2 linked regions of the Alligator mississippiensis genome follow. The protein of the gene in region 1 interacts with the protein of each later gene in a pairwise test. Links are inferred from orthologs where the notes say so. Each region holds a gene or a part of one and is shown on either strand. Other genes may lie near its edges. The genes, in order: HPRT1 and ISCU.

Region 1 (12,253 bases):
ACATCCTTTTCATTGCAGCATATTTTGCAATGAAACAGGGCACATGAAAGAGCCCCCATGTCTGCAGGCCTGTGGAAGCTCTTCTGCTGCTCCCCGGATGCTACTGAGGAGCAGACGGGCACCAGGATGGAGGACATGGAATTTGGAGCCTCTCTGTTTTTTGCCAAGAGATGCATCTTGTACTGGTTCATTTTTGCTGCACACACAGGACTAAATATTCAGAGCCTCACGGCTGATCACAGGCAAGCTCTCCATGCCTCTGTCACCTACATGTGTTTGTTGTCAGCAGCTAAAGGTGGCCCAGCAGCACATGGGCTGCCTGGGTGGGGAATGCTGAATGCAGGAAGTGAGACATCTCACATGGCCCTGGAGGGAGCCAGCTCAGGCTTTGCTTTCTATTCTCAAGTGTCAGTTTGCACATCCACGTGGGGCTCGCTGGCCCTCCCACTCCCATCTCGGCAAGGCTTCCATACAGATTTGCAGCCACGAGCTCGTGCTGCAGCAGCCTCAGCCCAGAGTTGTTTCTCATTAACCCAGCTCCTGCCGCCACCTCTTTCAGCTGCACAACAGGGATAAGCAAGGAGTGACCCAAACAGGCCTGGCCCTTGGCCGAGGCACTGCATGGCCCTGCCGGCTGCTGGAGTGGAGTCCAGTGGGAAGTCCAGGCTTACTGTTGCCCAAGAGAACAGCACATTTCCCGCAAGTGAATCAGGTTTCCACTTAAGTCTCAGGGCTTGTTCAGACAAACGTGGTGCCCTGCAGGCAAGCCCTTCCGATTCAGGGCACACCTCTATCTGCACATAGCTCTGCCTTGCCCGCCGATGCCGGTTCCTTCAGCTGGGAAGTGAGCCTGGAACAGGCCCAGACTGTGAGGCCCCTGGGGAAGAGCTCTACCCAGTGTAGATCCACCCGCCAACAGCAGGCCCAGAGTTGTAACCATCCTCCCCGTCAGGTGTGTGGGGCCCTGTGACGTAGGTAGCCTAGCTGGGTGTGTGCTCCAGGCTTGGCAGCATACGGTTACACCAGTGTCTGTCGGCTCATGTTGATGCTACACGCGTGTCATGAGGATGTCCCTCAGCTGTGTCAGGAACCTGTTTTCTTCCCTTTAATTCCTGTTTTCACCTCTGCTGCCTAGTTGAGCCACAGCATTAAATAAATCCCTTCCAGGCACTGGCTGCGTCTGCTTTAGTGGATGCACACAGCACCTAGCACCATCCTTTCCGTACTGCACAGTAGTGAGCCTGATCCCATGCTCTTTCATCCTGAATTCAGAATGAGGCCCAGAAAGTGACTTCTTGGTGCAAGTGCATTAGAGTACACTCCAGTAAGTCCACAAAGAACGTGTCTAGCTATATATGCAGCTTTCTCACCATTGTATCTAACCATCCCCTAGACATAAAGCCATTTTGCTTCTCAGTGCACCTGTGAGGCAGGGATGTTTCCTAGTTCAGAGAGTTTCCTAGGATCAGGGTTGAGGCAAAAGCTTACACCTCACAAAAGGTCAGAGCTGCACTGCTAGGCATTGCACTTGGCTCTCCCAGGTCCAGGAGCTGCACCTCCATGGCAAGGCCTTCCCACAGTCCTTGGCTAAGTCTAGGCTCATGAGGGCATGTATATTAGGGTGTGTGCGTGTGTGCGCCCCCCCCTTAATAACTTCATGTTTTGGTCAGCAGCATATTCACTGCTTTGTGAGTTGTTCCTTAGCTACTGGTTTTCCTCTTGAGTACAAAGGTTGGTATCCATCTCAGGACCTATATCCTCCACTGCTCACCACTACCACTCTCTCCTTAATAAGGAATATGCTGCCAGACTTCTGACCAAAGTGAGCTGCACTCCCCTCCACCATTGCTGTGTTGCAACACTCATCTTTTCTCCTCCTCTTTCAGATGTGCAAACATGCAGGAAAAAATAGAGATTTCTAGGATTGCTAATCTTTATCACATCAGTCAGCAACAATAGAAATAGAAATGGAAATTTGGGTGAGGCCTGAATGATAGTGGATGGGCTGTGATCAAAAATCAACTATCATAAATCATCTGTATTGCAAGTGACTTCAAACAGTTTCACCCTCCCTACACATTAGATGTGGCCTCTCTACAGTCCCCCTTCGGAGGTGTGTGTTAAAAAATAAGATGCCCTGGTCTCAGATTTGGGTGGGTCTGGTTGCCTGTGTAGAGGGTGATTACACCCTGGTCAGCAACAGTGGATGGAATACATATGATATTAGACAAGTCCCCAGCCACAAAATGTGTTTTTTAGATATTTTTTAAACATATTCAATGTTAAAATTCAATGTTTCTCAGAGCTATGGGTCTCTCAGACTTACAAGCAAGCTTCAGCAGGACAGTGTACTGGCTTCCAGGTATCTCTGAATCTGTGTGCATCTCCCAATCTGAAATGCTCAGTGATTTCCACACTAAAGCTCTAAAAATCCTCAGCTCAGCAACTTCCTGTAATGTCAGCAAATCTGTCTGCTGTTGTAAATCTGCCTTCTCCTCCCTATTCGTGTGCCAGCAGGACCAGAAACTCTTGGGATCTGGAAATCTGCTGTTTGGCAGGAAGAACAAAGAAATTACTCACCCAGAAGGGCAACAGTGGACTAAAACTTTAGTGCTTCTATTCACTCGGGAGAAATGTCACATGAACTGGCAGCAAGTGCCACATGCGGTGACAAAGGCTGGATTTGACGTTATTTGTTAATAAGCATTGCTAATATCAGCTATTAATAAGAAAGCTTCATCAGTACACATAGCAAGCAGCACCTGAATCCCCTACCCACTGTCCAGCGCAGTCAGGCATTTGAGGAGCCGGTCAGAGCTTCTCTTTCCCCTCTTCCATATCGATCTGGTCTTTCTGCTGAGCGTGAACTAGAGGAATTGAGGGTGAGGTTGTGCCCAGGCTCATAAGTATGTGTAAGGAAGGAAGAATATAAATGCAGAGCCGGGCACAGTCTCAGTTCTAGATGCAAACCCTGCTCTGTGCTACTGCTAACCTCCCAAGGGCCATACTCCTGCCCTGCTCCCTCACGATTTGTTATAGCTGCCCCTTACAGAAGAGGAAGAGAGGCAATGTTGCACCCTTTCCAAGGATGGTACAGCTGCTCTTCCCTGCCTCTGCGTGAAGCACTGCCCTGTGTGTCTAGACAGGGGCACTTAATTTAAAAAATAGCACTTCTGTTGGCCCAAGGGGTTGCAGCTCTTCATGCAGGCAGACTCTGGCTGTAACAGTGGACCGCTCTCAGCACAGAGGTCACGTAAGGTAAAGAGCAACCTTATCTTCTGTGAGATGAAAGGGGTTGGATACAATGGTTGTGAACAGTGAGAACTGCCCAGTGCACGATTCACGTAAATGGGTTAAATGCAAAACCATTACCCACCCCAACCTGCCCCTTCTGGAAAACTTGGGCTAGCTCACACCATTGTCAACACAACAATCAGACAAAACGGCTTTATGGCTGTAAGGTTTTGTCTGTACGGGGACATGGGACATTACCTGTATAATGGCACCAATATAGTGCCAGCAATATAGCTTCCCCAATGGAGGCTGTTAGTCTAGAAGAAGCATGCTTTTTGATTTAGCGTATAACACTTGGGGGAATGAAATGAGCCATGCTTGCAAAAGCAGTTCTGCTGATATAACTGTGTACGCCAGGGGCTCTTGCCACCACCACAGCTCTGTCACTTACAATTCACACCTGACTGCAGCCCTGACTGACTCCTTCTCAAAGGGAAAGGAGCAGGGCCAGGGCCACCAACCTGCTCAGAATAACAACGTGACATCTGATGCATGACCCTTTTGCTGCACCTTCTGCTTGGAACTGGACAGGATGTTTGCGAGTGACCCTACCACTGGTCCTATCACAACAGCGGTGCTTTTCTTTCTACTGGGAAGGTGCTGAGCATAGACAATTATCCCAGTTACCCCTATCCCTTTCACTGGGATAACCTGCAGAGCCCCTCAAGTTCTTAATCTAAGAGCTGTGCACAAACATTAATTAAAATGTCCCATTATAAGGACGTTTCTACCACTTAAATATTAAGTATGACATGGTGGAGCAACGCTGTGTGTTTTACGGATACAGGAGCCTCCCCTTCAACAAAACTGTGTTCCACAATCTGTGTTTTTATTAAGAAATAAAAAGATCTGTTCACTCTCAGAGCCACAAAATATTGCCTTGAAGACATCAACCAAGGTCTTACTGATGATGACAGAGATTAGGCCTGATTTTAGCTACTGCTGACTAGTTTTTCTGAGGTAAACTGTAAGGTGAATGAAGACAGATGAAAGCTGCACTGGTTGTACTTCCTCCAGCCTCAAGCAGGGGAAAGGACTAACCAGGACAGGGCTAATGAATATCTTTTTATTAAACACAATAATCCAGGTCCATAAAGCAATACCGTGTTTAACATTGTGCCCTTGCCTAGAATAAGGATTTGAAGGAGTAATGTCAGCAGAAGCTAACCTGGTTTGAAAGTCCAGTGCAGTGGAGTAAGACTGTCATTAACGTGCTGATCTGGTCAAGCTGAAGCTTAATGTAATGCATTTTCCAAGCACAGACAAGGCCCTTGCATCTGTAGCAGGTGCAAATAATGACTCTGAGATTTGTGAACTAAATCATCACCCCAGGTTAACCTCTAAAAGCAGGAGCTGACACTCCAAATGTCAACATTGTTATGTATTTCACTATAATGGAAATATCAAGTAAATTAGCTTAGTCTACCCCCTAAATCAGCTCTTTTTGTCACTGTGCATTTTCTAAAAATACCAGTTGCTAAAATTATAATTCATGCAAACGCTGCTACCAATCACTGACCTCTTATATGGTAGTGCTTGTTCACAAATAGACAAATCTGCATCAGATCAAAAACGAAAATGTGCATCTAACATAAAACAAGTTTAATATAGCAGTGCCAATGCAAAAACTGCCCAGGCAGCTGTGCTTCTTTTATTATTAATGTTTCTATTCAGTTACGATGTCTAGTTCTCTAATACACTTATGCATGCTGCATAATCCAGACCCCTTCTCCCAAAGCTAGGTACTGCTTACTGAGGAGCACCTGAAGTTTGCCAGATTGAAGCAATGATGCAGTCCAGCATTCAAGGAAGAACTCAGTTAATGATTAAACAATACAAAAAAAATCCCTAAAACTGTATTTAAATCTAGCATCATCCTGAAGGGAAATATGGCATAATTATGCAAACTAAAGAGCATGGGAAAAGCAGTATTCCAGGAAGCCTGAAAGAACATAGTGTTTGTATTTTCCTAATCTACGATTCTATTCACCAGGCCCGCTGCATGATTAAGTGTTTTGATTTAAACCATTAAACATGGTTGAAACGCAGTGATGTTGGGTCCATGTGCAGGGAAGTTCACTGAAGTGAAAGCTTCAGCAATGAGGCACAGCCTCATTTAAGTGAAACTCATTGCTAGTGTTAAGCTAAACCGTTAATTTTGCTCTTGGTAAATTCTTTGGGTCAGAGACCATCCAATGGGCCTTGATCCCTAATTAGGTCTGGGCACTGTAGCAACAAGAACCACAATCATAAAGACTTGACTGTGTTTGCAAGACCCTGCGCTCAACCTGACAGCATTTGCCTGTCTGTGTCCCGGTGTCTTTAATCTGCAGTTTTGGGGAATGTCTTAGCATCCCCAAGGGGAAAACAAAAAAGATGGATTTGGAAGAAAACCAGAAAACTGGAAGTGCGACAACGTGGGATATGTAGAGCACCTACCATATGGTCAATGAACGCACAACGTCAAGTACTTTTGCAGCGCTCTACAGCACACAGAGCTAAATAATGGCAACTCTCCACACTTTCTACCATAATCAATGCAGCTATTTAATCTCTGCTCTCCCTGCCTCAATAGGAGTGAATACAAATCACTTCTCTCCAAGACCGAGTGGCCAACAGAAGATAGCAGGTATGAAGAAAAGAAGCGTGCATGCAACCCCTGGCATGGTGGGGAGGGTCTGCAGAAACTTGGCAAGGGGGACTGCACCTACCTGGGAGGGAAGTGCGGGAGCTGATATGGGAGAAATCAGAAGGGGACGGACACGCTTAGCATGGAGGGGAAGGGGAATGGGGGACGTAGAGAGGCCGAGGCATGAGGGAGGGCAGATGTTGTTGAACAAAGAAGGCGAGAGAGATGGTGGGGTAGGCAGGAGTGCAAGGAGCCAGAAACAACGTACCAGAAGCCTATCCCTAACACATGGGAAAGCAAAACGACAGCAAGAGGCACACGGGCTTGTCACGGTATTTGAGACTTGACATGACGTTACGTGTGGGATTCACCTTGTCCGCAGCACCGGGAGCCCGAAGACGCCTGGCCTTGAGCGGGGGCTTGGGTTCGATGATCTCCTGCGGTCCCTCTCCGCCGGGCGGAGGAAATCCTCCCCGCCCCAAAACGAAGCCCTGAAGCGTGAGATTCGGTCGCTCGCCGTCCGAATGTAGCGCTGCCAAAGCCGTGCCCCTGTTGAGGACGATACAGGCGGTCCCAGACGAGGATGAACTTGGAGAGTCAGGGGTTCAGCTTCCAGTGCACAACCGCCCCCGGCATGCACCAACCGGGCCCAAATTCGCCCCCCGCTTTTTAAACGAGTCTGAAAAAACCAGCAAACCCCAGCGAGGCCCTTTGCTTTCCAAGCCAGCTCTTCCAATACGTAACGTCGCGGGCGGCCACGTGCGCGTGGCAGGCGAGGAGCGTGCGTCCGCCTGTTTCGCAGCCCCCTAGCAGCGTAGCCGTAAATATCACCCTCCACGTGTCGCTCGCCCACACTCGAGCCCTTCCACCGACAGGCTAACACGTCCACGTTTCTCCTCCGCCCGACACGTGCGAGGGAGGGGCACGCGTGTCAAGTGTCCCCTCAGCGCAGCCGGGCCTGGTCCGGCCTGGGTCCTTAGTGGTGGTTGTGAGGGGGGTTGCCATGGTGATTATGAGGGGGGGGTGTTGCCATGATGGTGCTGAGGGGTTACCATGGTGCTTATGAGGGGGTTGCCATGGTGACGACGGGGCGCCCCCCCACCCCTCACGGGCGCCGCTCGGGGCGGGAGGCCGCGGCCATGTTGCGGGCGGGAGGCGGCGCCTGTGGCGGCGGGAGCCGAGCCCGCTCCGAGCCGAGCCGAGCCGAGCCGATCCGGCGGCCGCGCACCAGCTCCATGGCGACCCCCAGCCCCTGCATCGTGGTGAGCGCCGCGGCCCGGCCCGGCCCGCACTGGTCACGGTCGGGGTCGGGGGGGGGACACGGATCCCAAAAATAGCGGGGGGTGCGGGGGGGGGGGTATGTGGGAGCGACGGGGCCCCAGAGATTGGGGGAGGGGTGATGATGGGGTATTTGGGGGGCGATTGGCGGGGGCTGATGGGGGTATCTACAAGTGACGCGGCCCCAAAGGTGGGCAGGTATTTGGGGGGCATGGGGGGGCTGATGGGGTACCCCCCCAGAGACGGGGAGGTGTTTGGGGGAGATTGCAGAGGAGATGGGGTACCCCCTAGAGACGGGGAGGTATTTGGGGGCATAGGGCGGCATGTGCAGGGATGGGGGTCCCCGAGACAGGCACTATTTTGGGGGAGGCACCTAGCTGGGGGTTACTCTCCCAGCACTGGTTCCTGCCAGGGCCTTGAGGATGTGTGCGGGTCCCTCCTGACCCCAGAAACTACGAAAGTATGGGGGTTTGAGGTGTGCATGGGGGTGCGGGTCCGTCCAGGTGCGAGGTGAGGGGAGCGCGAGCGAGGTACTCGGGGGCAGCCTGGCTGCGTCAGGCCCTTTCGGGGTGCTTGCCCCCCCAGGCGCCCCATGGCGAGGAGGTTCGGAGCGACCCACGCGCACCCTGCGCCCATCCAGGGCAGTCGCATCCATCCCGGCGGAGGCTGCAGGGGGCCCTGCCGGCTCGGGCAGACGCCTTACCTGCGTGCTTAATGTGACTGTGGACTCTCCGGCGCTGGGCGTAACCTTGACGTCCTCATTAAACCAGTTAACAGCCATGGTGACTTTCAGTTTGCAAGGGCAGGGGATGGTGCTGATTGTGGAGTTCGCCACAGGTAGTATCTGGTTCTTGTCCCTGCTTTCTAACAGCTGATCTTCAGCTTCCCCCCCAACCTGATTTAGAATAATGTAAATTGGAAAAAAAAAAGGAGAGCTCATCATCGTCTTAGGGAACATTTCTCAAGAGGCTTTAAAACCAAAAACAAGACGAACCTGCAGAGAAAAGCAACCTCCTTTTTTTACCTTTGCAAATTACGCCAGCGTGAAATACATTCTGATCTCCATCGCTTTGCATAGTATGCAAACTCATTAATGCATTTGTGTAATAACATGCGGAAAGGTAGAGTTTAACTATAATCAGCTTATAATGCTTGGGTTAGACCTGATTTGAAAGGCACTGAATTCCTGTTTATTTTGAAGAGGCTCTAAAAAAAAATACCTGTTTGAAATGTAATTTTGTACAACCCCCCAAAAAACAACCCACCACCACCGCTCAAGAAAACCTGTGGTTTCTATGAGTGACTGCACTATTTAGCAGTGTCCCCTGGCTCAAAATGCCGTGCTCCTTCCTTCCCCCCAACCCCTACAGCAGTATGTAGTTTGCCATCCCTATTTAAAAATGTCAGTGTTAAGTTTTTAGGAAGGAGTCATTTTTTCTCTGAATATGGAAAGAAAGTTTTGTTAAATAAATTAAATATAATTATAGAGTTGAACTATAAGAAAACCCTGTAGCTTTTAAAAGACAGGGATCTCGTCTGAAATAGTAGCTTACTAAGGTTTCCAGGGCTGTCTTATCCAGTGATTGCTGAGTTTGGTGTACCAGAGAGGGAGGAGTAGTCTTATAACTTCAATTCTTATAGGCTCTCATGCTACTAAGTCTCTTGTGAAATGATCCTTAGCGAGTGGCATGGCATAAACCTGAGCAGGTGACAGCTTGCAAGGCCAGGTAAAAGCTTCCTTTGGTAACGAAATGATTCTGCGTATTTTGCAGAGAGAACAGGAGTTGAGCTGGATCGTTAAGAGGCATGCGCTGGTGAATTACGAGTAATAGGCTTCAGTTTTCTCCACAGACATTTAACTATACTTCACATATAATGGGATTCAGCTGTAAAAGCAGAAATGAAGATAGTAAAAATTACATTAGTAACTTTAAATGGTGGGTAGGTAAAAGTCACGAAAGCTCAGATCTTGATGCTTTTGTAATGGCACATCCTACACCTTAATAGTTCCTGGTGTAATTATATGTCTGCTAATCACATGTCATAATTAACACACACTTGAGTGCTGATCCTGCAAGCTGTTCTGTTCTGGTTCCTGCCCATGCCAAACAGCTTGCTGAAATGGGACTTTCATGTCTGATGATGAGAGGTGTTGAGCACCCTGCAGTTCCCAGGATCCGGGCCGTAGAAACATGCCAAACCCCTTCTTGATGTGAGCATGTAACTGGGCACATTGGTAAAGATGTCTTGTGTCTCAGTTATTGGAAATGGGCTCCTGGATTTTGTTTGATTTGGTATTGTGCAGATTTGGAGGGCTTCCATGTTATTAAGTACACTTGATCAGTACCTTATGTAGCTTCTGTATTGCCCTTGTTAGAAATAAATGGAGATTTTTTTCCTCTAAAAATAAATAATTTGTAGTACAGGGAATGGAATCACAGCTGGAGGGGAGTCATTTCACTTCCTGTTCTCTCAGCCGAAGGAACTAGTTAAGATTTTAAATGAATATCTGCCCTTGTTTGATGTTTTATTAAGCAAGTGCTCATTCATTCGGCATGTGAGATGGGTCTCATATGCCATAGATGGTAACACTAACCTATACTTGACTTCATGTTCAATGCGATCGTTGCCTTTATATTGAGGGAGGATAAAGTGATGAGCATACCAGGTTCAACAGCTTGTTGAAAAAGTCAGGGTTTGATGTTTTACTTCACAGGTCTTTTGCTTGTCATACCTGAATTCTTCTAGGTCATGGTTTCCTCAGAAAGGACCTGTTAATTGTACCAACTCTCATCTTTCATATTTTCATTTCAGATTGGCGATGATGAACAAGGTTATGACTTGGACTTGTTCTGCATACCAAAACATTATGCAGATGACTTGGAAAAAGTCTATATTCCTCATGGGCTTATTATGGACAGGTTAGTTTGACTTCAAATAATGTATTATGCCAACTTAATTTCATGAAATTGGGAAAAATGTCTACCAGCAACAGTTTTGTTAAGCCTTGTAGCGTTTTGCTATCTGATGATGATCTAAATAGAGGACCTTGTGGAAAAATTTTAATTAGGAACTACGTGCTGTCTTCTAGAAAGAAGTGCAAGCACTAATTAACTCTCTTTCACTCACAAGCCTCTAAGAATTGGCACATTTGCTGCTGTGGTCATTTTCAAAACTACAGGATAGCTGTTAGGAGATACTGTACTAGTGTTAAGAACTAACCAAAAAAGCACCTTAGTTTAGATTGCAAACGGAAAACATTATGGCTTTTTTAATTTTATCGCAAGATTAATCCAGGGAGACTGGAGACATTGTTTCCGTACTTTCAGGTTAGGAAAACTTAATATCTTAAGTTCTCTTCCTTTCTGGGAAATGCATCATCAGCCTTTGCAAAATACTGGTCTATTGCTTCTCTACAGCCAAAACCCATAAAACTTGTATTTTCTATTTCTGTTCTCAGAGGGAAAAGCAGTTTCAGTGGCGTGATTACCAGAGAAAACATCTTCCAAAAACTACCTTTTGTACTTACGAAAAGATCTTTTTGAAGTGGAGATAAGGATAGCCCTAGAGTTCATGTTGTGGTAGTGAATTCCCACTAACTTAATAGGGTATTTTAAAATATTTATTTCCAGCATTAACGTATTTATATCATGGTATTATGAGAGCTATTTATGGATTTCCAATGTAAGTTAAAAACTGACTAAAATACATAGCATTTGAGTAGTATTTTATTAAATGAAGGGCTCTAGTTGTAGCCTCTTCCTAACAAGTGTGTGGCTGGCTGAATATGCTATAAATATTACACCATGCTTTTCTAAATAAATGAGAAGCTAAATTTAGAAATGATTTCCTTCTGAAAGATGACTGGTACAAGTAACATGTCAGTCAGCTGGCTTCTAGTGTCTGTGTATTGTCCTTAGCTTTGGAGTTAATGCAGGGTCCTTGTCACTTGTGTTTTAACCTGGAACAAAAGTAAGGCACTAGTTTTCCATCTGAGAAATGCCTGCCTTTTGCCTGGTTTGTGTAGGATGGCTCTCTCTGCTTGTTCTACTGGTAAACAAATTTATATTTCTCTGTGCTTGGGGAACAGAAAAGCCGCAGAACATGCTTTTTTTTCAAAATCCACATGTGAAAGAGCTACTAACTGAGCAAAGATTCAGATTTGTTTTGGCTGATTGTGACCTATAAAGCTGGCAGTGTGTGGCAATGTTACTGTTAGATTAACCTTGAGAAGTGAGAAAAGCAAAAACCTTACTGACCAGTAAACAGTAAAATTGGCTGAGAAGTGCTAGGCAAATATTTCATTGAGCAAGGAAGATATGTGTCCTAGTGCAGCATGAGTATTTCCCATTGCTGGCTGCAATACCAAAACATACTGCTGTAAGAAACAAATGGGCCTTGTCCAGACGAGCATGGGTGTGCAGTATGTGGCACCGCAGATACGTTTGCAGCGCCACATACTGCATGTTCAGCTGTTCTCCATGCTGTAAGAGAGCAGTGCAAGGAGCGGGGGAGGAGGGGGGGGTTGACCCCTCGATATCCAGAGGTCAGAAAAAACCATGCAAAAAAAAGTGGAGCAGTACCGCTCAAAACCAGAGCCTGGCCAGCTAGAACCATGCTGCGGCTGCTGGCCAGGCTCCGAGTGGCAGGATTGCTGCTGCTGGAGCCCTGGGAGGCCCCCAGGGCCCCAGCTAAGGTTGCTGGGGCAAGCCCAATGTTGGCCCCAGCCTCTCCTACCCCACCCAGGGTAATCTGCCTCACACCAGAGCGTGTGTGGCATAGGCGTTCCCCAGGGACAACCAGCGGCAACACAAGGTGTGCCACTGCCAGTTGTTCCCAGGGAACCAAACTTCCATGCTCATCTGGACATGGCCTTGAGGTGCTTTGTGATAAGTAATTAATGTTGGTTTGTTTTCTCCCTACAGGACAGAAAGATTGGCACGAGAAATCATGAAGGGCATGGGAGGACATCATATTGTAGCTCTTTGTGTACTCAAGGGTGGCTACAAGTTTTTTGCTGACTTACTAGACTATATCAAAGCACTGAACAGA
Region 2 (11,390 bases), on another chromosome or scaffold:
GCCCCCAATGGAATACTGAGCATACTCGAGCCAGATCTCAGGACCTAAACAAAAGCCATCAGGAATGTTAAAAGAAAGGGCAGGAGAGAAAGAGCCTCCTTCCCATGCCCATTTCTGTATCACCCAATATTTACAGTATATATGCAGTCTTCAGCGCGCACTGACAACATATCCTACTACAATCCCATGGAGGGAGAGAGAAGCTAAATTATTATTATTTATGCCACATTCTTGACCCACTACCAACAGCTGCAATTTCTCTGCCAACAGATGTCACTTATATCTTGCTTCTGGGCAGTGCATAAGAATTAAGGTTAATGATGCCAGACTGCACAGGCCCTTGAAAGCAAGTCATAGAAATTAAGGGCTGGAAGCGACCTTGAAAGATCTTCAAGTCCAACTCGCCTGCTCTGGGCAAGAATACGGCTGAGATCAAATTATCTCAGCAAGGTGTCTGTCCCGTCTCCTCTTGAAGACTTCCAAGGATGGGGACTGCACCACCTCCTTGGGAAGTCTATTCTAGATTCTGGTCGCCCTTACCATAAAGAAGTTCTTCCTTGCTTCCAACCTGAAACCATTCTCTAACGGTTTATGGCCACTGATCCTTGTCTTCCCCTGGTCATCTTGGTGAACAGTTTTTCCTCCCAGCTCCCAATATTCACCCCTTTCATACTTATAGACAGCCACCAAGTCCCCCCTCAGTCTTCTTTTCCCCAGGCTGAACAGTCCCAGATCCCTTAGTCTTTCCCCATAAGGTTTGTCCTCCTGACCCTTAATCGTTCTTGTGGCCCTTCTCTGGACCCTTTCAAGATTCTCCAAATCTTTTCTGAAGTGGACACAGGACTCCAGCTGCGGTATCAGCAACGCCGAGTAGAGAGAAAGTATCACTTCCTTAGCCCTGCTCACAATGCATCAGCTAATGCATCCCAGTATGCTATCAGCAATGTTGACTACAGCATCGTACTGGCAGCTCATGTTCATCCTGTGATCAGCTATAGCCCAGAGGTCCCTCTCAGCCATCATGCTGGCCAGGACATCTCCTCCTAACCTATATTCATGTTGCTGGTTACTTCTCCCCAGATGAAGCACTCTGCATTTATCCTTACTGAACTGCATCCGGTTCTACTCCGCCCACCTTCCCAGCTTGTTCAGGTCTTCTTGGATCTGCATCCTATCCCCTAGTGTGACCACTTTTCCCCATCACTTAGTATTGTTCGCAAACTTGGCCAGCGTGCTTTCCACATCCTCATTTAAGTCACTGATAAAGATGTTGAACAGCACGGGGCCAAGAATTGAACCCAGCGGGACACCACTGGCCACCTCCCACCACGATGATACAGACCCATTCACTAACACTCTAACCGTCATTCAAAACATTACCTGCTATCCACTCACCAGTTCCCCTTCTCAGCCTCTAATACTTCCCCACTATAGATCATCTCTCTACCTTCTTCCCAATTATCAACGGGCATCCCTAAAGGTAAGCCATGTTAACTGTCACTTCCATGTTTCCCAATGGCCAACGGAGGGCTGATGTGGCTTTTTTCCTCCTGTTACCCTCTGCATAGGATTTTATAATTGGGGTGTGCAACATAAGTGAAGTCTGACAGCAATCAAAAAACTAGCATTAAAAGAAAGTTAGTTGATGTTCTTTGACAGAACGAAGGTCAGGAGAGCTGGGTAGGCAACTCCATCTGCCTAGCTGGAAACAACCCAGTTATGACAAATTAGGACTTAACTCCCTGGGTGTGCGATTTCTGGAATGAGTCTAATTAAAGATCTGAAGAAAACTCTAACTGCGGGGCCATGACCAATACCTCCAAACCTGCCACTCCACTTCGCAGATGATGCACATTCAACCCTCCACCACAATGAAGGGAAAGAATAAGTTAGTGCTCTAATTAGGTATGTAGCAGCAGCCACCATCTGGCAAAGAGGTGTAGATAAGGACCAAACCCCTGCCTGTCTTTTAATGAGAATTCTCACTGTCCTCTGCTGCAAAGCATGAGTGGGGTTGGACACTTACAAGGGCGTTTAAGGACAGGGTCTTTGTGATACTACCAATACCCTACTCTGAAAGACCTTTTATAGCGAAAGAATACAAAGGTACACACTGAAGGCAGCAGTAACTAATGAAACCAATTCTACAGACAAGAACAAGGTGGTGAAAATAAACCTTTTAAAATCACTAATTTGCCCCAAGCAAGGAAAGGAGAGTTCATTATGGGATACAGGATTCAGTAGGTGCAGGGAGTTCTTCACAGAAAACAGCCAATGCAAAGCCACAACACAGTGTTAACTGTTTCCTGCCTGTAAGAGCAGCAAATTGCTTGGCAACATCTATCTGAAGTCTACAATCGTATGAGCCTGACTCTGCAATTCACTGCCTTACATAGGGTTTCCAAGCAGCTACTCTCTTCCTTCCAGGAAAAAAAAATTGAGGAGGAATAGTTCACAATAACGTAATGTACTTTTAGGATGTGTCTGCAACTTACAGATATAGTCTTTCACAGCCCGCTCGAACAAATCATACACCTTCTCTCGATCAGCGTTTTCTGAAGCCATTCTGATCTCGTCCTTTAACCAGTCCAGCCAGATTTCTGTAAGAGAGCAAGCATTTCAGACCCCATCAACCAAGGACATTCCAGAGCCTGAGAAACAAGCAGGATTGTTACCATGTCACTGGAAAAAGAATCTAAGCAGAGAATTACTTTTAAAAGAAATCAGGCCTTGAAACCTGACAGTTACCTACAGTGAACTGCGCTAACCTTTGGCCAGCTTTTACCCATTTGGACACCATACGTACGGGCAAATTTGTATTTAAAAGGAGAACAGCTGGTCCCTTGTGCTGTGAACCATAATTCCCTGTGCCCTGAACTGAAGCCATCCCACAACTGGTGCCCCTCTGTGTACTCCAACACGTACTTGGCCAGAGCGATTGCATTTGTCCCTAAAAAGGGGTCCCCCTACTACCACAACACTGTCAAGGCAAAGCAGGGAAACACACAGCTGCTGCGAGTACCAAAAACAAAACAACGAAATCAGTCTTTCGGCTCTCTGCGACTTAAACTAGTAAATTCAGGAAAAAAGACAAATTTTAAGGTTTTAGCCACTGCATGCCCAGCACTTGATTTTACTGCTTAAAATATTTGCATAAGAGCAGTCAACTGTGTCTACCTAATTTGGTCTTGTGAACCCTTCATGAAGTTGAACCCCAACACTTCACACAACACACAGTTTATTTTCTGAAGAGGGAGGAGGGTTGGTATCAAGCCAGAGGGAACGGCGTCAGCGACAAGAGCTCCCGTACCTTCAGTGAGCGGGAAGAGTTCGCTCATCTTCTGGCGAGCTCTTCGAAGCTTGACCAGCTCTCCCTCCTGACGGAGGAGCTTGATCAGGTCCAGGTGACAGTTGTAGTCGAACGCGTTGATCGAAAGCTTTTTGAAAGGAAGCGAAAAAGGCGTCAGATAGGAAGCATTACTCGCTGGAGCAGAAAACGGGGAGACGAACGGCTAGATTACAAACGTGTCGGCGGCCCCGCGCGCTGCTGTCCTTGCCCTGTCGCGGAGCAATACCAGGTGCTTCAAGGACATAAACACGATGACATCTTCATAACGCTTCTACGCTTAACCTGCCGCGGGTTCAAACAGGGTCTCCGATCGAGCAGTTCAGCTTAACGCCAGGGAGATTTTGCTCACCGGGGGCTCGCGAGCCTCCCCGAGCTGCCGGGAGCGCCGGCCGCGGCTGTCGTTTCAACTGTAAACGGGGGAATGCGTCTGCCCGTTTTTAACAACCTCTACCTACAAAAATGAACGTCTGTAAGCTAGAAACACCAGAGGGCTTCAACTCCTCCGACAAAAACCAGCCAAAACGAGCAATTTTACAAAAAAGGGATCGTTTCTGATCTGTCGGATCACAACCGTTCTTTATCGCCAAGCGAAGAACGACGCCTGCGTTTGCAGCTCAACGCTGGGGCGCGTTTTACAGTCCCTCGAAGCCCCCGACGGCGGCGCCTAAACCCGGAGGGCCAAAGGCGGTGTTTTATAGTTCGCTGAAGCCGCCGACACCTACACCGGGAGGATTCAAGATGACCTCGCGGCCGCCAACGGCGACACTGACACCGGGATTAAAGATTTTACAGTCCGCTGAAGCCACCGACAGTGACACCTAAGCCGGGGGGAGCTAAAAAGACGACGTTTTTACACTTCGTTGGAGACAGGAGGGCTGAAGTCGCGGCCCCGTGCGGGATCAACTACCACCCTCGAGCGGTCGTGGACGCCCCCCTCGACCGTGTCGGCCTCAGGCGTGGGGGGGAGGGGAAAGGGCCCGCGCGCTCCCGCCACCCCCACGCGAGGACCGTGCGACCGTTACGGCGCGTTGCCATGGAGACCGCGTGCCGTGGGGGGGGGGAGGGGAGGGGAGGGGAGGGGACACCCGCCACCCCCCGGCCCGGCCCGGCCCCACCTGCTCCTCCAGCCGCTGGATCTCGGCCTCGTTCTCCTTCTCCTCATCCTCGCCGTCCCCCGACGACTCCGAGTCGCCGCCGCCGCCAGCTTCCTCGTCTTCATCGTCCTCCTCCTCCTCCTCGGAGCCAGCCCGCCGTTCCTGCTGCTCCTCGGCCGCGGCCGCCGCGGGCTCCTCAGCTCCCGCCGCCGCCGCCATCTTGTGCCGCCGCCTGCCGCCTGCCCCGCGCGGGGCTGCCACGCCGCGCGCCTGATGGCTCCAGGATCCCCGCTGCCGCAGGCGGCGGCGGGAGCGGGAAGGAGCCGCCGCTGCGGGAGTCGTCCGATCCCTCCTGTAAAAACAAGAGCCTCCCAAAAGGGACCGGCGGCCTCCTCTTGTGTTTCATCCTGGCAGGCTACTTGTTCAGCCACCTGTAGCCCCTGAGGGCGCGGGGGCCTTCGAGAAGGTCAGCGCCGGGATTGGCTGGAGCTGGGGAAGGGAGGGGCGGGGCTTAGCCGCCATGTTGAGTGTGGCAGGTTGTGCAATGCAGGCAGCTGGCCTGGTGCTGCAGTGGGCTTCCAGCTGTTTCAGCGCATCCCGCTCGTTTTGGGGGCAGAGGCAATTCCTTGCAAGCATCAGCACTGTATGTGCACCCTCCGTCCCCCCGACTGCTGCAGCACCTTGTTGGGGGATGACACACACCAGGATCCCCTGCGTTTACAAAGCTGCCCCCATCCCCAACCCTGGAGATGCTGTGGAGCTGCTCCTAATTGCTGTCAAAATGGGCCCAACCCACGTTTGAAGTGGGGTAGTGCCCAGACCAGTTTCTCCAGGAGAGTCCCCCCCCCTCCCCCCATGGTGAAGATTTGGGAGCGACCCAAAAAGGATTTTGCCCACAAATCCCTGCCCAAACTCATGGTTGTGACCTTAGCGCAAGGCCTGGGGGGCTGGCGCTTGGCAGGCTGGCGTGTCGACGTGTACTTTGGGTCGGGCAGCGTCAGGTCTCCGTCTCCGTGGCGGAGGTGTGCGTTTTGGGTGCCCCCATGCAGCTTTTGTCCAGGCATCCCAGCCTAATCTCCGCTCTTTACCCAGAGCAACGGACTCGTTGGGTGCTATGGCCTGCCGTTTGTATCGGCAAACGCAATCTTTTCTCCTGTGCCTGACGAAGGATGTCGGTGCCCGAAAGCTCGCAGGGAAAGAATTTTTTTGCAAAAATCTAGTTGGCCCAGCAGCGCAGGGGCCATCTCACCCTCTCCCCTACGCACGGCTGGGCTTCGCCACTCCTGCCCGCGAGCCCTGATAGTATTTGTTAGCAAACATATCATTTCTGATGACCTTCTGCCCCTCCAGCCACCCACCCACCTTCAACTGGGTAACGATTAGCTTGGGACTAAGGCCTGGGGCAAAAGGAACCCGCCAAAACACCCCCCCCCCCCCCCCCCAAATCATCAGCTACCGGGCTCAACCCTCGTTTCCCACCGCCCAGCAAAGGGTTAACCAGGGGCACGTGGCGACGCCATTACGCACGGTGAGGGGGCGGGGCTAGCCGCCGCGGGGACGTAGCGGGCGCGGGGACGTAGAAGACGCCGGCGCCGCCGCGTTCAGGGTCACGTGACAGAGGGGGAGTGGCGGCGCAAGATGGCGGCGCTGCGGACGGGCGGGCGGCTGGCGCAGCTGTCCCGCGGCTACCACCGCAAGGTGGTGGATCACTACGAGAACCCGCGCAACGTGGGCTCGCTCGACAAGCGCAACAAGAACGTGGGCACGGGGCTGGTGGGCGCGCCCGCCTGCGGTGACGTCATGAAGCTGCAGGTGCGCGGGGCAGGGGGAGGGGGAGGGGAGCACAATACAGAAGCCCTGGATCGGGCGGGGAGCGGAAAGCAGAGCAGCAGATCGGATGGGGGGGGAGCGGGAATCCTCGCCCTTCTCCACGGGTTGCTGCCTTGCTCCTCTGCGCAGCGGCCCCGGGGTTACAAGGCGCGTGTCAAAGCCCCGATACCGGGGAGGTTCGCGAGCGCGCGGCGGTCTAGAAGGCCACGCGCTCGCGGCGTTGCTCCGTCGCGTTTCGAGCCTCGCGCGGGCGGCTCTCCCGGTGCCCGGCGGCATCTTTCGACCCCGCGTCGCTGCCCCCCTCGCAGGTGGAAGTGGACGCCAGCGGGAAGATCGTCGACGCAAGGTTCAAAACCTTTGGCTGCGGATCGGCCATCGCCTCGAGCTCCCTGGCCACCGAGTGGGTGAAAGGGAAGACGGTAAGACCCCCGTCGCACCCGCCGGTAGACGGGAAGCTGGGAGGGGTGGAGGGCGGACTGAGACTATCCCATCCTTACGGGCAGATATTCGTAGGCGTTTGTTCCTCTATCTGGAAACGCCGAGCTCGATGGTTTTGCGAACGTGGCCGTTGCAGGAAGAAAAAGGTGTTTTCAACCAACACGTTAAAGCGCGGCGTGAACAAGGAGAGCTCATAATCACGCCTGTGGCCTTCCTCTCCCGTCCCACCGTCCTCAGGATCACAACTTACGCTGTTCCCATATGCACTCTGATATAGGCAGTTGGGATGTATCTATATCGGGATATATTTTTGCACCAAAAAAAAAAACGCATCCTGACCTACAATTGTAGGTCGGGCTGTACAGGTTTTCTATAGTAATATCCAACCCAGGGGTCCCCAGTCTTTTTGGTCCTACGACCCTATTGCAGTGCCAGCCCAACTCGTCCAGTCTAGTTTCTCTAGGTCTTGGCGCAAAGGGAGGCTATGAACCCTAGTCTGGACATCAGTAATTTGGTCGTAACTCTGCCGTGCCTTCAGTTGCCACCCCGCGTTCACATGAAGACCTTTTGCCTAGAGCCCTTCTGTGCTGCTAGATTTCAGGAAGAGATGCCAAGTGGCTCGGCGCAAGAATATGAACTCCAATTAACATAATCATCAGCAAGGAGTTCATAACAAAAGGCTTCTTCTCCCCGTCTTCCTTGGTACCCGATCCTGACGGTTCAGCCGAAGAGCATCCCTTTAACAAATATCTGCACGTGACATCAGGAGGTGGGGAACAAGCGTCGCAGCCCAAATGTAATCTTCCATTTTTGTTTCAGGTGGATGAAGCCTTGGAGATAAGAAATACAGATATTGCTAAGGAGCTCTGCCTTCCTCCAGTTAAACTGCACTGCTCTAGTAAGTTGTCAGTACAGACTTCATTTTTGAGATGTAACAGCTAAACCCAGTTGTTTGCCATAGATCTGGAAGACATTTCCTTCTGCTTTTGTTGTGCTTCTCAAGATGCTTTGAATTGAGACCAGTCGCTGAGGTGCTTTAAAATGCATCTGTCTCTCAAATATTCTGTTAATCTGATCAGTTTTGGGTGAAAAGCAGAAGCAGGCATGCTTGGGTGCGTAAGCCTTGTTTACAAAAAAAGCTTGAAAGCTCTTCATCTTTCTCTTTCAGTGTTGGCTGAAGATGCCATCAAGGCAGCCCTGGCTGATTACAAGCTAAAACAAGATCCTAACAAGGAAGAGCCTGAGAAGAAAGCAGCCAGTACCTAGAACTGTGATGAAAGCTTATTCTCATTAATATCGCAGTGCAATTAGTTTAGGTGTTTAGAGAAGGGAGCCAGTGCACTACCAATCTGAAGCCGTCAGGTACACCCAATATACGCACAATGTTTCACTGTTCGCCTGTATTAAACCACCTTTGTAGTGCACAAATCATTGGTATCCTTGACCTTATTTCTCCACTGATTACTGTCCTATCTGTTTCTCCTGGAAGTGTCTGGGTGAGGAGGGGAAGCACTTACTCGAGGCATAAGTCATTCCTAGCAGTGAAAATCCAAGTGTTTGGAAGGGCTGCATTTCATTCAGTAAATGTATAGTTTTTTCTGAGAGTTTTATAGAAGAGGATTATTTGAAAGCGTGTTGCCTTGTCTTAATGTTTATGCAAAAAAAATGCAGATCAGTTTTATTTTGTGTACAACATATGCAATATATTAAACAGCCTGCGGCAGTTCATCTGCCTGGTACAACTGGTTTGGAAGTCTTTCATTTCACGTCTCTTGTCCTCCCTACGAGCACACTCCTCACCCCCTCCCTATATCTCATTTCCTGGCACCTCAGGATATGTCTAGAGCAGTGGTTTGCTTTTTAGACTAGGCATCCCTCTGAAAATGCTATCGCTTTTATTTCTACTTGTTTTTTGGTGACAAAAAAATACTAGAGCAATTTTTCTGTTGCAGAGAACTCAGGAAGACCACAACAGGTCAGGATGTCTTTAACAATGAATTCCTTTTTGAAATCTCTAGGTTTATCTTATAAATCATGTTTGCCCAAATAACAGTGCTGACATTATGTGGTACCCTGCAGCACCCTTGAAAGGATCTCAAGGCATCCTGGTTGAGAATCACTGGTCTAGAGGCTTGCCAGTCTGTTATTGACCCAACTATATAGATGGGAGACATGTTAAAGAAGCTACTGGAGCACAACTCACTCCTCACCCCTTGTGTGAAGTTTGATAACCCTAAACTAGCTTGTAACCACAATAACGACCGCTAGAGGTCAGTGAAAAATAGCTAAGTAGGGAAACATTGGCCATATTGGCTTGCCAATTCGAGTGCTACTTCTGGCTGAAACGTAGGTGGCTGAATTGTACCGGGTTATCAGATGCGGGGAAATGGAGTTCTGCTAAAACAAGGTGCAGGGCAAGCCTGTGGTGGACCCTATTATTCACTGAGTCTAACTGAGTTGCGATGTTTCTGTTCAGGCCAGAACCAATAATCCCCAAACATTCCTTATCTAAATATAGGATGTAAACCAAGCGCTATTTTCTTGTTTCCTGCACTTAACATTCTTGAAGGCTGTAACATCTAGTTGAAAACATACCAGGTTTTGAAAGAAATCCACACACAAGACTATCTGGAAGGATTTCTTTTTTTTTTACTGCTTTTCTCCTCAAATAGCAATGTGCTCATCCTTACATTTGCTGTTTGGATGCTAACATAGGGTGTGTCCAAGCGAGTGCAGCTGTGTGGTATGTCTGTGGCGCCACACACTGCACATTCAGGTGTTCTCTGTGCTGCAGAGTAGCAGTGCCAGGGTTTTTTTTGATCCTGGAGTCAAAATGAACTGCATGAAAAAAAAGCCAGGTAGTGCATGCCGCCCAAAATGAGTGGCTCTGGCCGGGCTCTGAGCAACAGGATCAGCACAACTGCAGCTCCCCAAAGACCCCAGGTAAGGGTGCTGGGGCCAGCACAGTTGCTGGCCCCAGCCTCCCCTACCACGCTTGGGTAATACGCTGCATGCCAGAGGACACATGGCAGGGGCATTTCTAGGGACAAGTAGCAGTGGCACAAGGTGTGCTGCTGTTTGTCCCTGGGAAAACGAACGTCCATGCTCATCTGGGCATGACCATAATGAGCAAAAATACACTGTAAAAGCTTGGCTGTACAAGTGCTATAACCAGATGCTGCTCATACACAGAGGCCTCCAGAAGCTTAGCTTTAAATTACCCTTCCTGCTGTAACAGATGTGGACAGCTGGATACAGAAAGACTAGACTACTTAAGTTACCAAGGAGCTCAAGTTATGGGACAGGATCCCACTCCACCAAGTACTGTGCAAACACAGATAAGCTTCCTGGCCCAAGTTGCTCACCGTCCAGCTATCAGAAGAGTGTATAGAATCAAAATTGAAGGAAAAATATTAATGCCCCATTGTTCTCCTTGTTCACTTTTTATACCCATGGCAGCAAATGAGTCCTACGAGGAAGACTCTTTCCTGCCCACATGCAGGGGGTCTGGACCCGATGATCTGCAAGGTCCCTTCCAGCCCCTAACAACAATGAAACTAAGCAGTACCCCTCACTGCACATGGATGTTTGGAGATAACTATAAGACGCGTGGCGTGCTTGTGCAATAGAAAAAAAAAACCCATAATAAAGTTAATTGTCTCCAGAAAAGGGACTGCTTGTGGAAAATACAGCCTAGGGGCCAGGCTTTGAACCAGGATCAAACAAAGTCGTGAAGAGCTGCTTGTATATGAGCATGGTCTGTCTTAGGCACGGTAAGGCAGGGGATCGTTGTAAAGAGATATAATGAGGTTGAAGTCTAGCCTGAAGCTTAAACTCAGAGGCCTGTGGCTCCCTGGCTTTCTGGCATCCTGTCAAAACCCAGGCTGCTGGGACTGCACCAGTCAGCAGGGACCCCCAGATGCCTCCCTAGCTAAGAGCTTGGAGACTCGAGCTTCCAGGGATCTGGACCTTCCCAGCAGCCAGCCAAGGGGACTGCCAGTCCAAGTTCCCAAGCAAACTACTGGGCCCTCACCTTTGGACTCCAGCAGCTCGCCCAATGCCCAGCTTGGCAAGTCAAGGGGCCAGGGGCTCCGAGATCCCTTGCAGGGAGCTCAGGAGCTAGGACTTGCTGGGCTCCCAGGTGCCTTCCCCTCCAGTGGCAGGTTGCTTTCTGCCCTGGGCTCTCCAGATTCCTTGGGGGTTGGAGTGGCCAGCCAGGAGCAAAGCATCTCCCCAAGTAGGTAGCTGGCTCCCTGCCCAGGCTTTGCAAATACCCTGCTCCCAAAGGTCAGCAAGTCCCTACAACAGCAAAGCCAGGGTCTGTGCCAGGGTGGATTTGAGGTCCCTTTCCACCACCCGGGAGTCTAAGGAAGTGAACTCAGCAATTCCACAACAGACCCGAGTCAGGATAAGGGCCTTTGGAGACGGTGCCTAGCCTGAGCCCCTCTGCCCACAGTGCTTTTCCCACCACCCCAGGCTGCAAGGCAGTTTAAACGCACCACTGCTCCACTAGCAGAGTCCTCACCTCCAACCTGCACGATCGGGGCAGGGATCAGGGTCAGGAACCTGCCAATTGGGGCTGAGCCCAGCAGCCCAGGTGCCATCTCACCCTCTCCCCTACGCACAGCTGGGCATAGCCGCTACTCCCAGCATCTCAGGCTCAACCAGGTCTGTCAAAG

Evidence for each region.
Region 2: the proteins of HPRT1 (region 1) and ISCU interact in binary tests that used the Homo sapiens proteins (3 or more experiments, as listed by UniProt). The two-hybrid records come from large-scale screens. The link is inferred for Alligator mississippiensis from reciprocal best matches to the Homo sapiens genes HPRT1 and ISCU.

What each region holds. Positions count from the first base shown.
Region 1 is NC_081831.1:80,411,303-80,423,555, reverse strand, and holds the start of HPRT1 (hypoxanthine-guanine phosphoribosyltransferase), read left to right. Parts: upstream 1-7,075; 5' UTR 7,076-7,158; coding exon 7,159-7,185; intron 7,186-10,015; coding exon 10,016-10,122; intron 10,123-12,126; coding exon 12,127-12,253. UniProt on the Homo sapiens protein: Converts guanine to guanosine monophosphate, and hypoxanthine to inosine monophosphate. Transfers the 5-phosphoribosyl group from 5-phosphoribosylpyrophosphate onto the purine.
Region 2 is NC_081833.1:4,622,388-4,633,777, forward strand, and holds ISCU (iron-sulfur cluster assembly enzyme ISCU), read left to right. Parts: upstream 1-6,051; 5' UTR 6,052-6,081; coding exon 6,082-6,255; intron 6,256-6,581; coding exon 6,582-6,692; intron 6,693-7,530; coding exon 7,531-7,609; intron 7,610-7,879; coding exon 7,880-7,977; 3' UTR 7,978-8,453; downstream 8,454-11,390. Other genes in the region: SART3 (squamous cell carcinoma antigen recognized by T-cells 3), read right to left, coding at 1-44, 2,496-2,600, 3,311-3,437, 4,465-4,662.